2 linked regions of the Caenorhabditis elegans genome follow. The protein of the gene in region 2 purifies or fractionates together with the protein of the main gene of each other region. This does not show direct contact. Each region holds a gene or a part of one and is shown on either strand. Other genes may lie near its edges. The genes, in order: Y57A10A.27 and Y48G9A.9.

Region 1 (8,353 bases), on a different chromosome or scaffold from region 2:
GTGTGTTTCGTAAAGAGCCAATGATATCAATGCTCTGCCAATGAGCCGAGTCGAATAGAGAGAAAGAGAGAAAGAGAGAGAGAGAGAGAGAGAGAGAGAGAGAGAGAGAGAGAGAGAGAGAGAGAGAGAGAGAGAGAGAGAGAGAGATCTGCCTTTACACTGATCTCGGAGCTCTCGGAGCCGCCCGGCGGGGCTATCGGTTGCAAGCCTCCCGCCGGAGGCGGGAAGCGCCTACGACAGATGTTGTTAAGCTCTAAGTGAGTGAGTAGGAAGAGGAGATGAGAAAGAGAATAACACTAATTTTTCCGGCGGTGCCGAACCCCCGGGAAATGAGAACGAGGAGGAAAAAATTGAAGAAAACTAAAGAAAAAATGTTGCTGAACAGGTGTGGGCGGATTTTGGCAACTTTTTAACTGGATTTTTGGGAATTTTTCAGTGAAAATCTAGTTTTTTTTTACTCAAAAAAGCAAGTTTTGTTATAAAAATTTGATGATAAAATTGAAATTCAACCATTTTTGAACTCTAAATTTTTTTTTTGAAATTACGGAAATTTTCAATCAAAAAAATAATAATTTTCAGGGTAAAAATCGAGCTTTAGAGCTAAAAACAATTTGTTTTTCAAAAATCGCTGAAATTTTTGGAAATTAAATTTTTTTAAATTTTTTAAATAAAAATTTCCCATATTTTTATTTAATAAATTTCATCTAACCAATTTTGAGCACTCAAAAAAGCATTTTTTTCGTAAAAAAATTATTACCTTTTCGTGAATCCTTGAATCCCTCGCATGGCGTTTTCCAAGTTCCTGGAAAAAACCGAAAATTACAAAAAAAAAATCAAAAAAAAAATGGAGAAAAATAAAAATAAAAAATTGGAAGCAATCCGGATATTCAACAAAAGAAGTTCAGAATTTCGCAGATTTTTTTATTTAAAAAATGAGGTAAAATTCAAAATTTCCAGAACAAAATGAATAACAACAAATCAACAAGGAAAACAATTTAAAAATGAGAAAAAAAAAACGATTTTTTCAGAAAATTGCTAAAAATCACAAAATTAGCCAATTTTTTTGAAAAAAAAACAGAAAAATCGAATTTTCTTCTACCAATTAATGGGATGAGCCACTGGATGCATACGAATCACAACATTATTCGCTGCCTGGGTATCCGAGCACTCGTCGATTGCAGCTTCAAGTCGAGCGAAGGTTCCGACTAGGGATTGCTGGAAAAATAGAAAAAATAGATTTAAATTATAGAAAATGATATGAAAATTAGTTTTTAAAAAATTTGAAAAACGCTAAATTTTTTATGATTTTTTTTTTCAATTTTGCAATATAAATTTTTTTTTTTCGTAAAATTTTCAGACAATTTTCGGCAAAAAAATTAATCTGAAATCAGCTAATTTATCGATTTTAACTGAAATTTTTTTGAAAAAATCAGTAAATTCTGCCGGCGGGAATTCAAAAATTTACAAAAAAATTAGTAATTTTTCAGAAATATTGTGAAAAAAATTATATTGTTGAAAAATATTAATTCAGTGTTTTTTTTGGGAAATTTGAAAAAAATGTTTTTCTGAAATTCGCAATTTTTTCGTGTTAAAAAAAGATTATATTTCCTGAAAAATTCAATTTTTTTGAATTTAAGAAAAAAAATTTTTTTCTTGAAAATTGGCGAAAATAAGAATTTTTTTCGGAGAATTAAAAAAAAATTTTTTTTAATAAAATTCAAATTTCGCGCCAAAACCCCGAAAATCACTGAATTCTGAACAATTTAGTAGAAAATTTTGAAAGAAATTGCTCAATTTTTTTTGTAGAAATTTCGGGAAAATTTCCAAAAAAAAAATCATCAAAATTCGAATTTTTATCGAACAATTTTATTCTCGGATTTCAAAGAAAATTGCAATTTTTCCACTTTTTTTTCGAATTTTAGATAAATTTTCTGCTGAAAAAATTGATTTTTCTACAATTTTCTTTTTTTTTCTTTAATAATCGGAGATTTTTTGATTTTTTTTTTGAAAATAAATTTTCTAATTTTTTTTTCAATAAAACTAAAATTTGAAGTCCCGCCAAATTTTTCTGAGAAATTTGAATTTGTAGTCAGTTTTTTAAACGGAAAATTCAGAAAAAAAAAGTCGTTTTCAATTTATTTTTTCCACATTTTTATGGCTTTTCCTTCAAAATTTCACATTTTTCATCGTTTTAAGCCTAAAATTGGCCAATTTTTCAGCGGAAAATCACTTTTTCCAGCACTTTCCGTACCATTTCAATAATAAAATTGCTGATCGCAGCGAATTTGTGATGAAGTTTATCCTCATATACAATACGTGAACCATGTGCATCCATAAGTACAGTAATCAGTGTGAGAGCTTTTGAACTGATGGAAATATCCGGTGATTCACGGTAGATTTCAGTGAGAATTGTCATAATTTCGATGGATTCGGTGACGGAGAGCACGGCTCCGCAAGCTTCGGTCATTGGAATTTTAGAGAAGTTACGGGCAAGAACTTGGCTCACTTGGGCTCGGCGCTCGGATTCGGACGGTTTTCTGGAAAAAAAAGCTTAGTTTTTTAGTTTTTTTTATTTTTAATTTTTTCGAGAAAAATTGACAAAATTCGACTAATTTTGAATTTTTTTTTCGTATTTTTAACGATAATTTTTCGATAATTTTCTGTCAAATTTAGATTAAATTACAGCCAATTTTCGAGAATTTCGGAATTTTTGATTTTTTTTTAACAAAAAATCTGAAAATATCAATATTTTTTTTCAAAAAATCGTAAAATTTTCCGGAAAATTTTTTTTTTTTTTAATTTTTTCTTAAAAACGTTAAGCCTTTTGTTAGATTTATTCTTTTTTTCCGGAAAATGTTCATTTTTTCGGCGTTTTTCAGAGAAAATCGAAAAAAAAAACAGAAAATTAAAAATTAAAAATTCATAAATTTCTCGTTTTCCGAAATCCAATTTAGTTCAATTCAAGAAAAATATGTTTTTTTTTTCGGATTTAATATGAAAAAGAAAAAATGTTTGGTACGATTTTTTCTTTTTTCCAGAAAATATTCAGTTTTTAAAGCGTTTTTTAGATCGAAAAAACACCATTTATTTGAATTTGTTTTCAGAAAAAAATTAAACATTTTTTCGTTTTTTTTTTTGTGGTTTTCAGAGAAAATTGAAAAAAAAACACGAAAAATAATTTTAAAAAATTTCCTTTTTTTTAAAGATTTTATATGGAAAAAACGCAAAATTTTCGGTAGGTTATTTTCTGTTTTTCCAGAAAATTTTCACTTTTTTTTTGCTGTTTTTCAGATCGAAAAAACACCATTTATTTGAATTTGTTTTCTGAGAAAATTAAACATTTTTCCGTTTTTTGTTGTTGATTTCAGAGAAAATTGAAAAAAAGCAGGAATAACCTTTCAAAAATGCCCTTTTTTAAAACTTTCTTTGAAAAAACACAATTAAAAAATCTGGAAAATATCCGATTTTATATTTTTATAAAAAATAGTAAAATTTTTGTTTTTTTGGATTTTATATGGAAAAACAGCCAAAAAATTTTTCTCTTTTTCAGAGAAAATCGAAAAAAAAACTTATTTTTCTGGATTTTCTCAAAAAAAAAGGCAATTTTTGATGCGATATTTTTCTTTTTTCCAGAAAGTTTTCAGTTTTTTTTTGTTGGTGTTTTCAGATCGAAAAAACACCAATTTTTAAATTTTTTCTGTAAATTTTCATACGAAAAATGCAATTTTCGTGGATTTTTCTCTCGAAAAACTAAGAATTTTCATAAATTTTATTTAAAAAAAATGCGACTTTACGAGCTGAAATTGTAATATTTTCAGACTTTTTTGCTCGGAAAACGAAAATTTTCGAAGCTACCGAGCTGAAATTGGTATTTTTTTCAAATTTTTCTATGCAAAATGCTATTTTTCGTGGCTTTTGAGCAAAAAAAAAAGGTGATATTTTCGCATTTTTTGCACGAAAAAACGACGATTTTTGCGCTTTTTCATTCGAAAAATGCGATTGTTCGAGCTGAAACTATAATATTTTCAGACTTTTTTGCTCGGAAAACGTACATTTTCGAATATTTTCAAATTTTTCTAAGGAAAATGCTATTTTTCGTGGCTTTTGAGCAAAAAAAAGTGAGATTTTCGCAATTTTTGCTCGAAAAACTACGAATTTAGGTGAAAATTGTACGTATTTTCATAGGAAAAATTGCTTCTTTTTTTTTTAAATTTTTTGCTCATAGTCATCTCCATACCCAGCAGCAAGCTTCAACAATTCAGCCAAAATAAATTCCGACACAACACGTGCTCCATCGGCGAGCACATGCTCCACAATTTCCGTATTGCTCTTCAGCTTCTCAATGCACATTCTCAAAAAACCGTCCTCATTTCGAAAAGAGAGCACTCTCGACGTGGCAATCGCTTTGAGCACCACATGAAGCGTCTCGGGCTCCGAATCCACGTCATCCGTGTAGCGGCGGATTGCGGTGAGCAATTGAGACTGCTCAACAGCCGAAAGAGCTCCAGCAGCTTCTCCATTGGAGCATTCTTCGTCAAGTTTCGAGCTCAGCTGCTTCCATCTTTTCTCTTTTTCCGGATTTTCAATACAATTTTGAATTGATTTTAATAGAGATTTCGTGTCAAATGTATCGATTGGATTGACGGCAAATGAGCTGAACGTTTTCGTTTTCGTGGTGGGACCCGATTTCGCGATGGCTGTCGCTGTTAGAGCGTCGATTTTTGATTTTCTGAAAGAAATTTTGAGGTCTTATGTGATTTTTATGTCGAAAAATTAGCATTTTTCACTACATTTTCTGAAGAAAATTTAAATTTTTATTTTTTTTTATTCAAAAAATTGGCTTAAAATCGAGTTTAGACAGTTTTTGAAAGAAATTCATACAATTTTTTGTGATTTTTAGATTCAAAAATGGTCGAAAATCGAGCTTTTTTGTTTTTTTTTTTCTAAAAAAGTAACTTTTTTAATAAAAATCGAAAAATTTGCATTTTTACTTCATTTACTTCTTTTTTTTGCCTCAAAATTGGCTAAAAAATTTACAGTTTTCTCGATTTTCCTAGAAAAATTATACCTATTTTGTGTAAAAACAATTTTTTTTTTGATTTGCTGTAATAAAATGAGATTTTAGTATTTTTTGGAACATTTTTCGGATTAAAAATTCACTGAAAATCGAATTTTTTAAAAATTTAATTTCGGGTTTTTCGATAAAAGCTTTTTTTCCGAAAAAATTGGAAATTTTTTGGGTTTTTTATCGAAAAATTAGCATTTTTCACTCCATTTTTTTGATTTTTTAAATTTTTTTTTTTGACTCAAAATTGGCTTTAAAAATGTTTTTTGGAAATTGCAATAAAAATTGAAATTTTTATAATTTTTTCAGGAAAATCAAATCTCTTTTTTTTAATGCAAAACAAAATTGGAGGTTTTAGAAGGTTTTTAGTAATTTTAAATACATTTTTTGTGATTTTTTCTGGAAAATTAACTTTTAATTTTAGAATTTTTTATCGAAAAATTCGCATTTTTCACTCTATTTTTTGTAAAAAAAATGGTTTTTTGTCCGTTTTTTCGGATTTTTTTTTGGAATTTTCAAACTTTTCATGACACCTCATTTTTTTTTCAGATTCAAAATTTGCTGAAAACCTTTTTTTTGTTGAAAATTTCTCTATTTTTTTTAAATTTTTCGACTTCTAGAAGGGTTTTTCCCGGATAATTAGAAATTGTAGAATTTTCCGAGAGAATTTTTTTTCGGACTTTTACTTTTTTTTTTTAATTTTAAAAATTGATTTTTCTACAGTTTTCTATGAAAAAATTGAAATTTTCTTGCTAAAATCCCAAATTTTTGTCCGAATTCCAAATTCTAGCCACTAAAACCGTACGGCATTGGAAGAAGAGCTTCAGAAGTTGGTCCAACAATCAAAAGTTGCTCATCTCCATTATTATAAGCAATTTGAGTTGGAAGAGTCTGTCCAATTGGCCAACGGATCACTTTTCTCGCGAGAGCTGAAGCTTTTGTCGATTTCCGATCGATGAGCTCGATGAGCAGTTCTGTGTGCTTTTTTGTGCTCTTTTGGTGTGTTTCGTCGTCCTCGGCGAGCCGGGTGAGGTCGACTTTTAGGAAATCGTTGAGATCAAGCGACAGGTGCATTCTGGAAATTTTTTTGGGTTTTTTTCAGATTTTCTAGTGAAAAATTATAAAAATTGGGGGGGTTTTTTTTTTCAAAAATGTTTAAATTTTCAGCTAAAAATTCGGATTTTCTTTTTGAAAAATTCGAAAAAATATTGCAAAGTTTTGTTGCAATGTTCTCAATAAATTCCAATTTTCGGAAATTTTTTAAATTTAATAAGAAGGGATTTGAGTAAATTTGAATTTTTTTGTGATTTTCTATAGAAAAGGGAATTTTTTAATGGAATTGTCTTGAAAATTCCAATTTTTCTGCAATTTTTTCAAAAAATTGTCAACCTTTTCAGCCAAAAATTCGGGATAATTCCAATTTTCGGATTTTTTTGAAGAAAAATTCGAATTTTTTTTATTTTCTCGAGAAAATCGGAGTAAATTTGAATTTTTTGTGATTTTTTACTTAAAAAATTTTTAAAAAAGGAATTTTTCATTGGAATTTTCTTGAAAATTCCAAAAAATTGCAATTTTTTCAAAAAAAAAGTGCAACATTTTTTTTTTTGGTAAAATCAAAAATTTCGAATTTTAAAATATTTTTTTTGATAATTTTGGATTAAATTTTTTGGAATAAATTGGAGGAATATCAGAAAAATAAATTTTTTTGAGATTTTTTAAAAAATCACTTCTAAAAATCTGATTTTTTTTTGAATTTTTAAAAAATTAAAAAAAAATGAAAACATTTCAAATTTTTTTTCTAAAAATTCGGGAAAATTCCAATTTTTTGAATAATTTTTTTTAAATTTTTCAGCGAAATTTTCGGAAAAAAATCTGAAAATTTCGCAAATTAAAATTAAAATATAAAACAGTTTCAAAAACTGAATGTCAAAAAAAATTACAATAAAAAATCGCTCTAAAAAATAAAAAATAAAATTATTTAAACAAAAAAAACGTAATACTTCAAGTAAAATGTTAGTACCCGGCCGAGAGAAATGGGGAGAAAATTTGGAAAAATTGTTAGAAAATAAAAATATTTGTTTAAAGAGTAAATGGGAATCTAGACGGGGTAAAAAAAAGAAAAATGCTGTAAAATTTTTTGACTAGTTTTTGAAAAAAATTAGCTGAAATTTCCCAATTTTTCATAAAAATTTCGGGAAAAAAATGCTCCAATTCTCAGAATTTTCCGAATTTTTTCCAAAATTTTACAGCAAATTTCTGCGATTTTTTCAGAAATTTCTGCTAATTTCTATAAATTTTTAGTGACTAGAAACATGGATAAAGCGGCGAGTTTTGGATGGCAAGTGGGGTGATAAAACTGCAAAAAAATTAAAAATTAATAGGGAAAAAATGAGCCTTTGGCTCTTTTTAAACGAGGGGATTAATATGAAAATTCACAGAAATTATTTTTTAAAGAAAGATCAATTATTCTTTTTATCCGTGCCATTGGACATTTGGGCGAGCAGCTTCTTCTTTTTCAGCACTTTTTCCCGCTCTTTTGACAGAATTTCCTCCTCGGATAGTACACGATTACTGTGTATGGCTTTTTTTGTGGCGTCGACGGCTCTGGAATGGAAAATTTTTGGTTAAAAATGGATTTTTTGGGGGGAAAAGTGGAAAAATTGAGCTAAAATTCAGATTTTTAGGCCAAAAATTAATATTTTAGAGCATTTTTCACATGAAAAATGCAATTTTTCGAGCTAAAAATGTAATATTTTCGAAATTTCTTCCGAATTTTCATATGAAAAATGCAATTTTTTATGGTTTTTGAGTTGAATTTTTGCACCAAAAACTACGATTTTTTTTTTCGTATTTTTCGAGCAAAAATTGTAATATTTTCAGGCTTTTTTTGCTCGGAAAACGCAAATTTTCGATTTTTTATTGAATTTTCATATAAAAATGCGATTTTTCGTGGCTTTTGAGCAAAACAAATGAGATTTCCTGACATTTTTCCTCAAAAACTACAACTTTAAGTTAAAATTGTACATTTTTTTAATACGAAAAATCGCATTTTTGAGATATTTCGTTTTAAAAATTTCGATTTTTAGGTCCAAATTTTGCATTTTTGCTAGATTTTTCAATGATTTTATTCAAAAAAAGCGCCTTTTCGAGCTAAAATTGTATTATTTTCAGATTTTTCATCAAATTTTCATATGAAAAATGCAACGAAAAATCACATTTTTGCAAGTTTTTTTTCCTAAAAATTTTTGCGTTTTTCATGCATTTTTCATGAAAAATGGAATTTTTCGA
Region 2 (7,051 bases):
AATTTATTCAAATCGAATCTTCCCTTATTTACGAGGAATACTTGGAAAAAAAAACTAGTTTTGAAACGGAAATTTGATGATGACGCAAGCCATGCGCCTTTAAATTTTAGCACGTTTTGAGGCCAAAAAGCACGAGAACTGGAAACATTGTGCAAGAAAAAAAAAACTAACAAAATTTTTGAGAAATAATTTTTTTATAAATAATTTTTTTTCCAAAAAAAATTTCAAAAATGATTAAAACCGAATTTTTCGTGAAAATTCGAATTTGTCACGCTTAGACCTTCAAAATGACCCCAATATCGGCTATATTACGGTGAAATTTACGAAAATCGAAAACATTTGGGTCCCGCCACGAAAACCTACTGGGTTACTGTAGTTTTGTGTTTTTTTTTGCGGCGAAATGATTTTTCTCATATTTTCAGTAAAATTTCCAAATTTTTGAGACTAAAACCAATTTTAAAACTTGAAAATTAACAAAGTTATGGATTTTCGAAAATTTTCGATTTTTTTCCAAAAAATTCTACATTAAAACTACCATAACTTGGTGAATATCGTTTCGAGACCCTTGAAATTTGAACTTTCAAAATCAGCGTTTCCAGAGCTTTCAAACAAGCCCCATATCGGCTAGGCTCCGTCATTTTGGGGTCTCTCCGCGAAAATTGGGTCCCGCAACGAAGGGTACTGTACTTTTCGTGGCGGGACTCAAACCTAGTCATGATTATACTTATTTTGAAGGTCTCAGTGTGCTGAATTCAAATATTATTAGAAAAGTGTGAAAAAAGTGGGTTTCGAAGCGAACATGACAATTTTAAAGGTACACAACCTAATTTATACGGTTTTGATTCAAAAATAATTAGGAAAAACGTCAAAACCGAGTCGAACTGCACCCAATTAGTCACGAAACATTAAAAAATGACAGTTTTTCATCAAAACTACACTAGAACCCCTCCTTATCACCGGAATTCTTATCAAAATTTTTGAAAAAAAAATGTGGCAAGTGACTGACTGACACATTTATCACATGGTTGATCTGTAATAAAGAATCTGAAAAAAATTTGGAAAAAATTGGAAAAATAAGGAAAAATTCATTTGACTAGCGGAAAAGTACCAAAAATCAATAATGGGGGCTCTGAGAATTGATATAAAAGCGTTTTGGGGGAAAATGGGACACCGGTTTTTGCAAAAATCAATAAAAAGTCTGGAGAAATAATCGATAAAATAGAAATATTAAAAAATTATTTTTCGAAAAAATTTTAAAAAAATTTTCAAAAAAAAAAAAAATTTTCAAAAAAAATTTTTTACGGCAAGAAATATTCAAATTTTCTTCAAATGTTCATCATAAGACTTCAAAAATGCGTCGGCAGCTGCCAAAGCCTTCTCCGAAACGTCCGTCTCCCCGCGTGCGAAGGCAATCATGACACGATGGATGTAGAGGTATTGAATTTCTGTTTGAATGCATTGGGCGCGCTGTTTTCGGAGTTCTGTTATGATCTGAAATTAAAATTTAAAAAATTAATTGATAGACGAAAAATCAATAAATCGATGGGATTTTTCAGAATTCAAAAATATCGATTTTAAGCCAAGTTACGGCGATTTGAAATTGGTGGCCTAGAAAACCCGGGCAAAATTTTTTAGGCCACAACTACTACTTTAAAGTTAAAAAATTAAAGTTCAGCACTTCGTGGCTTCAGAATGACCCCCAACATGCCTAGGTTCCGTCTATTTTAAGTTTAGACACAGCCGAAACCATAGCTACAGTACCCAGCGTGGCGGGACCCAAAAACTTAAAATCGTCGGAACCTGGTCATGATGGGGGTCATTTTAAAGGTCTCGGTGAGCTAGATTCAAATTTTCAAAAATTAGTTTGCAAAAGTAAAAATTCGAAAAAAAAACTTTTCTTTAAATTTTCAAAAAAAAAAAAGCATTTTTCTCTAAATTTTATTTTTTAAGGATTTTTTAAAAAATTTTTGAGAGTAAAATAGAATTCAGCCTATCAATGCCTTTTAAATGACACCCAACATGCCCAGTTTCCGCTGAAATTGAGTTCCGACACAGCTGAAACCATAGCTACAGTACCCAGCGTGGCGGGACCCGAAAACTCAAAATCGTCGGAACCTGGTCATGATGGGGGTCATTTTAAACGCTTCCGGGAACTGATAACAAATCTCCATCATGTTTCTTGAAATCCGAAATTGTAAGAAAAAAATCCAAAACAAAATTTTTTTTTCAAGAATTTTCGAATTTTCCCTCAAATCCTTACCTCCTCAAAGTCTACTTTCAGTCCTCTATCCAATTTATTATAAGCGAATTCCAGAGCAACTACACAACCGGTCCTTCCAATCCCGGCGGAGCAATGTACCACACAAGGGCCGTGCCGCACCTGAGCCAACAGCCGCTGGGGTACTGTATGACATTTTTCGTCGGGCACACCGCGGTCCGGCCAACTGCAAGAAAGAAAGTTGTGAAATTTGAAGAAAAATGTCAATTTTCCAAAAAAAAAAAATTCAAAAAAAAAATCAATAATTTCCTTCAAAATCGATAATTTTTTTGCTTTATTGATTTTTCGGAAAATTGTGTAAATTTGTGCTAAATGATCGATTTTTCTCAGCGTTTTCGCTGAAATTATCGATTTTTCGTGTGTTTTCCCTAATTTCTTCAAAATTTTCCAAAAAATTAACTCACTTTGGCCATTTAATCAGGTTAACTCTGAGCTCCTTCAAATTTGCGGGCTGCTCATCGACCGGCACATTGTCAGGCACAAATGTCACTGCTAAATTGCAAATTTCAAATTCATCGGACGATTCGCCCATATTTGTGACACGTATGCACCCGTATGTTTCTGTTACGCCAAGTGATGGCCAGTAGCCGACGCATTTCGGGCGGCCCTCTTCCATTGTTCTGGAGTTATTGATTTTTTAATATTTTTCTCGGGTAGTGCGAGGAACTGCGCAAATTTTAAAACAAACACCATCAAAAAATGTGGAAAATTGGAAAAGTTATGGATTTTCGAAAAATTTCGAAAATTCTAATTTCTTTTATAATTTTTGATTTATACATGTCGATTTTTACACGCAAACTTTCAAATTTCTATTTTTAGCTCAATGAGACCTTCAAAATAAGTATAATCATGACTAGGTTCGGGTCCCGCCACGAAAACTACAGTATCCTTCGTTGCGGGACCCAACCAAGGATCTCGACACGATTTTCAACGAGTTACTGTAGTTTAAAATATAATTTTCGAAGAAAAATCGTAAATTTTCGAAAAACCATAACTTTGCTTGTTTTAAAGATTTCCGCCTTATTTTAGACAAAAAATTTGCAAAAAAAAAAATGAACTAACGCTAAAAAATCTGAAAACCCACAAAAAGCACATAACTACAGTAACCCAGATGGTCTTCGTGGTGAGACCCAAAAATTTTGAAAGTTGTCGGATTATAGGCAATATGGGGGTCATTTTGAAGGGCTCAATGAGTAGAGTTTGAATTATTGATTGGTTTTCAAATTCGGAACAATTAGATTTTTTTTTGAAAACATAGAACAATTTTTTTTTGAAATTTTGTTCCAAATTAAATTTTTTTTTTCAAAAACCATCGAGTTTATGCTTTTCTGAAAGCTCTCAAAATTTCCAAACTCACTTGCAGAGCATCAAAATGCTCTCAGCTCTCTCCTGAAAAATCATCCTCCAAAAATCGATAATTGTGTGCTGAAGGGGTCCTTGTGTGCAGATAAATGTGTTCCTCAGGTAATTGGTTTTTACGTAATTTGCATGAATATAATCCTCATATCGACTTTTGTCAATTGTCAGCTTTACTCGTGTAGTGTCGCGACATACCACGTCTGAAAATTGACTTTTTGAAAAAATTTAAATTTTCAACAAAAAAAAACATCTTTTCGAATATATTTTCTTTAACGAATTTTGTTAGCTTATGGTTTTTTGTATTTTTTCAAACACATTAATATTTTGCGCACATTTTGAGCTGAAAATCAGGCCAAAACCTTGAAAACTGACCGAGCTATGAATTTTTGAAAAATTAAAAAAAAAATATTAAAGAAAAAAATTTTTCAAAAATTTATTTGCAAACACTTTTTTGAAGTGTTATAAAATGTGCAATTTAATCCAGCAGAAAAATATTTCACGCACATTTTAAGCTAAAAATCAAGTTAAAATCTTCAAAACTGACAAAGTTATGAATTTTTAAAAAATTGGAAAAATTGTTTTTCGAAAATTTTAAAAACTTATTTTTGTAATTTCCGCCTCAGCAAATAAAACATGTGAAAATTCAAAATTATCGCTTTGAGACCTTCAAAATGACACCCATCATGACTAGGTTCCGTCAAAGTTGGGCTCCACCACGTTAAACTACAGTACTCTCAAAAGTGGGCGTGGCCTGGAGAATTTGGCGGTCAAATTGAAGCTAATGGCGGGAAAGATCCAGAAATCGCAGTTTCAAAACTGTATCGGCTCCAAAAAACCACATTTTTGGTGGTTTTTTAAATTTAAAAATTTTTCAAAAAATTCGAAAATTTTCGAAAATCCGTAACTCCACCAATTTTCGAGATTTGCGGCTAATTTTTTGTTTAAAAATTACATTAATATTTATATTGTCGAAGAAAAATACAATAACCTAATTTGTGCCCAAAATGAAAGTCAGGAAAAAGTCAGGACTTTTCGCGGCGAGACCTCGAAATTTTAAAAATTTCCGAAAATTTTTTTTTTTCAGAACCCTGGCATGATTATACTTGTTTGAAAGCTCTTTTCACGCCAAACTCAAATTTTAAACTTTCAACTCACCTGAATATCGATTTTTGTGCATATTCTGCTTAAAAGCCTCAAAAGTTAGTGAGGAGTCCTGCTGGGCATCGAGTTTCCGGTACTGTTTCGCCAAACCTTCGATTCCCAGCTTTTCAGTGGCAATTATAAAGTTGTTCAGAGTTTCTACATACTTTCTGTGGTGATCATCTGTCTGAAAATTCAATTTTTTATCAAAAAAAAATTTTGTCCGAAAATTTTTTTTTCAAAAATTTAATTTTTTCCCAAAAAAAATCTCAAACTTTTTTATAAATTTTGTGCTCATTTTCATCGTAATTATTGTTTGCATCCGGAGCCTCAAAAAACTGATAAATTGGTGTGCCACGTGGCACCGACGAGACTGCCTTGATTCTGCCACGTGAGAATCTACAGCGCATTTTAATTTCTGAAAATTTTGGAGCGAATTTTGGAATTATAACGGTTTCAAAGAAAAAAAGAAAAAAGAAAAAACAACTCAAAAATGATAGAAAACATCTTGAAGAAAATTTTTTTTTGAAATTTTTTCGGATATTTTTTCAAGACTTTGTTTTTATTTTTAGGGATTTAAATTGACCTAACTGACATTTTTGTAAAGTTGAAGCCAGCAATTTCCCACATTTTAAGACAAAAACCATCTGAAAACCTCAAAAACTCACAAAGTTACGAATTTTCGAAAAATTTGAATTGATTTTTTGCCTAAAATATCTAATTTCAAAATATTCCCGTGAATTTTAAACTAAACTTTTTAAAAATTATTTTTTTGGGTTCACCGCACCGAGACCTTTAAAATAACACCCATCATGCCTAGTTTCAGCTGAACTTGAGTTCCGACACAGCTGAAACCATAGCTACAGTACCCAGCGTGGTGAGACCCAAAAACTCAAAATCGCCAGAACCTGGGAATGATGGGGGTTATTTTGAACGTCTGAAAATCAGAAATTCAAAATTTTAGTTAAAAAATAAAAAAAAGTGAATATTGTGAAAAAAAATAGAAAAAAATAATATTTTTCAAAAAAAAAAAATTTTCCAAAATTTTCAAAACTTTTCCCAAAACTTTTTCTCAGGTTTTTGATTATTTCTATAACTACAGTAACCCCAAAAAATCACAAAAAAAAGTGCAGAGAAAACGGAACAAGTGGTCAGAAAATAGATATTTTTAGGTGGCAAGTGAGTGAGAGGGGATAAGTGTGCCTGAGGGGATATCGATGTTCAACAACACTTGACGCACTTTATCTATTATTTGCTATTGTTGGTTTGTGTGCCCCCCCAAAATAAACCACGAACGTATAATAATTTAGAAAAATAATTTCTAAAAATAATTTTTTTTTTTGGAAATTTTTTTTGTGGGGTCCCGCCACGAAAAATCTTGGGTTACTGTAGTGTTTGAGCACAACGACAGAAAATTAATTTTCCATAAATTTTTGAGTGGATTTTCTGAATTTTACAGCAAAAATTAGCTATATATAGAAAATTTGAATAAGTTGTGAATTTTTTGCAAAAAAAAATTTCAAAAATTTAAACAATTCATAACTTGGTCAGTTTTTGATATTTTTTAATGATTCTTGTTTTAATATATAGCTCAACTACAACTACTGATTAAATTGAAAAAATTTAAAAAATACAAAAAAACCTCAGAAACTACAGTAACCAAAAAGTTGTGGCGGGACCCAATTTTCAAAAAAAGATTTTTTATGTGACTTTCAAAAATTCATAACTTTGTCAGTTTTTGAGATTTTTAGTTAATTTTTGTTTCAAAATTTAGGTAAAACATTTACAAATTTGGAAAAAATCAAACAAATTTGTTTAGCCGTAAACCTACGATACACCAAGAGTTTTCGTGGTGGGACCCAATTTTCAAAAAATTGTTTTTTGTGATTTTTCAAAAATTCGTAACTTTGCCAGTTTTTAAGATTTTCAGCTGATTTTTGTTTTTGAATTTAGTTAAATTTTTGAAAAATTTAATAAAAATTATTAAACAACAAAATACATCAAAACTACAGTGCGCTACGAGCTTTCGTGGCGGGACCCAACTTTCAAAAAAAAATTTTTTTTCGTGAAAATTTCAAAAGTTCGTAACTTTGTCAGTTTTTGAGATTTTCAACAAGTTTTTTAATTAAACTGTGTAAAATATTTCAAATGTATTTTTTGAAATAAAAATTTTCACAAAATTCTACAAAATACAAACTAAAAAAAATTGAAAAACGTTCAAAAAAAAGTTTTTTTCGGAAATTTTTTTTCCGAAAAGTTATCATAACTAAAACG

Evidence for each region.
Region 1: the proteins of Y48G9A.9 (region 2) and Y57A10A.27 fractionate together in Caenorhabditis elegans (co-fractionation; one large-scale study listed by BioGRID). This does not show direct contact.

The regions. Positions count from the first base shown.
Region 1 is NC_003280.10:12,268,905-12,277,257, forward strand, and holds Y57A10A.27 (Armadillo repeat-containing protein 4), read right to left. Parts: upstream 6,141-8,353; 5' UTR 6,140-6,140; coding exon 5,871-6,139; intron 4,730-5,870; coding exon 4,238-4,729; intron 2,538-4,237; coding exon 2,252-2,537; intron 1,216-2,251; coding exon 1,096-1,215; 3' UTR 908-1,095; downstream 1-907. Other genes in the region: tric-1B.2 (Trimeric intracellular cation channel type 1B.2), read right to left, coding at 7,525-7,669.
Region 2 is NC_003281.10:2,093,898-2,100,948, reverse strand, and holds Y48G9A.9 (Protein-tyrosine phosphatase), read right to left. Parts: upstream 5,198-7,051; 5' UTR 5,188-5,197; coding exon 5,053-5,187; intron 4,965-5,052; coding exon 4,793-4,964; intron 3,838-4,792; coding exon 3,636-3,837; intron 2,899-3,635; coding exon 2,683-2,898; intron 2,445-2,682; coding exon 2,261-2,444; intron 1,492-2,260; coding exon 1,315-1,491; 3' UTR 1,073-1,314; downstream 1-1,072.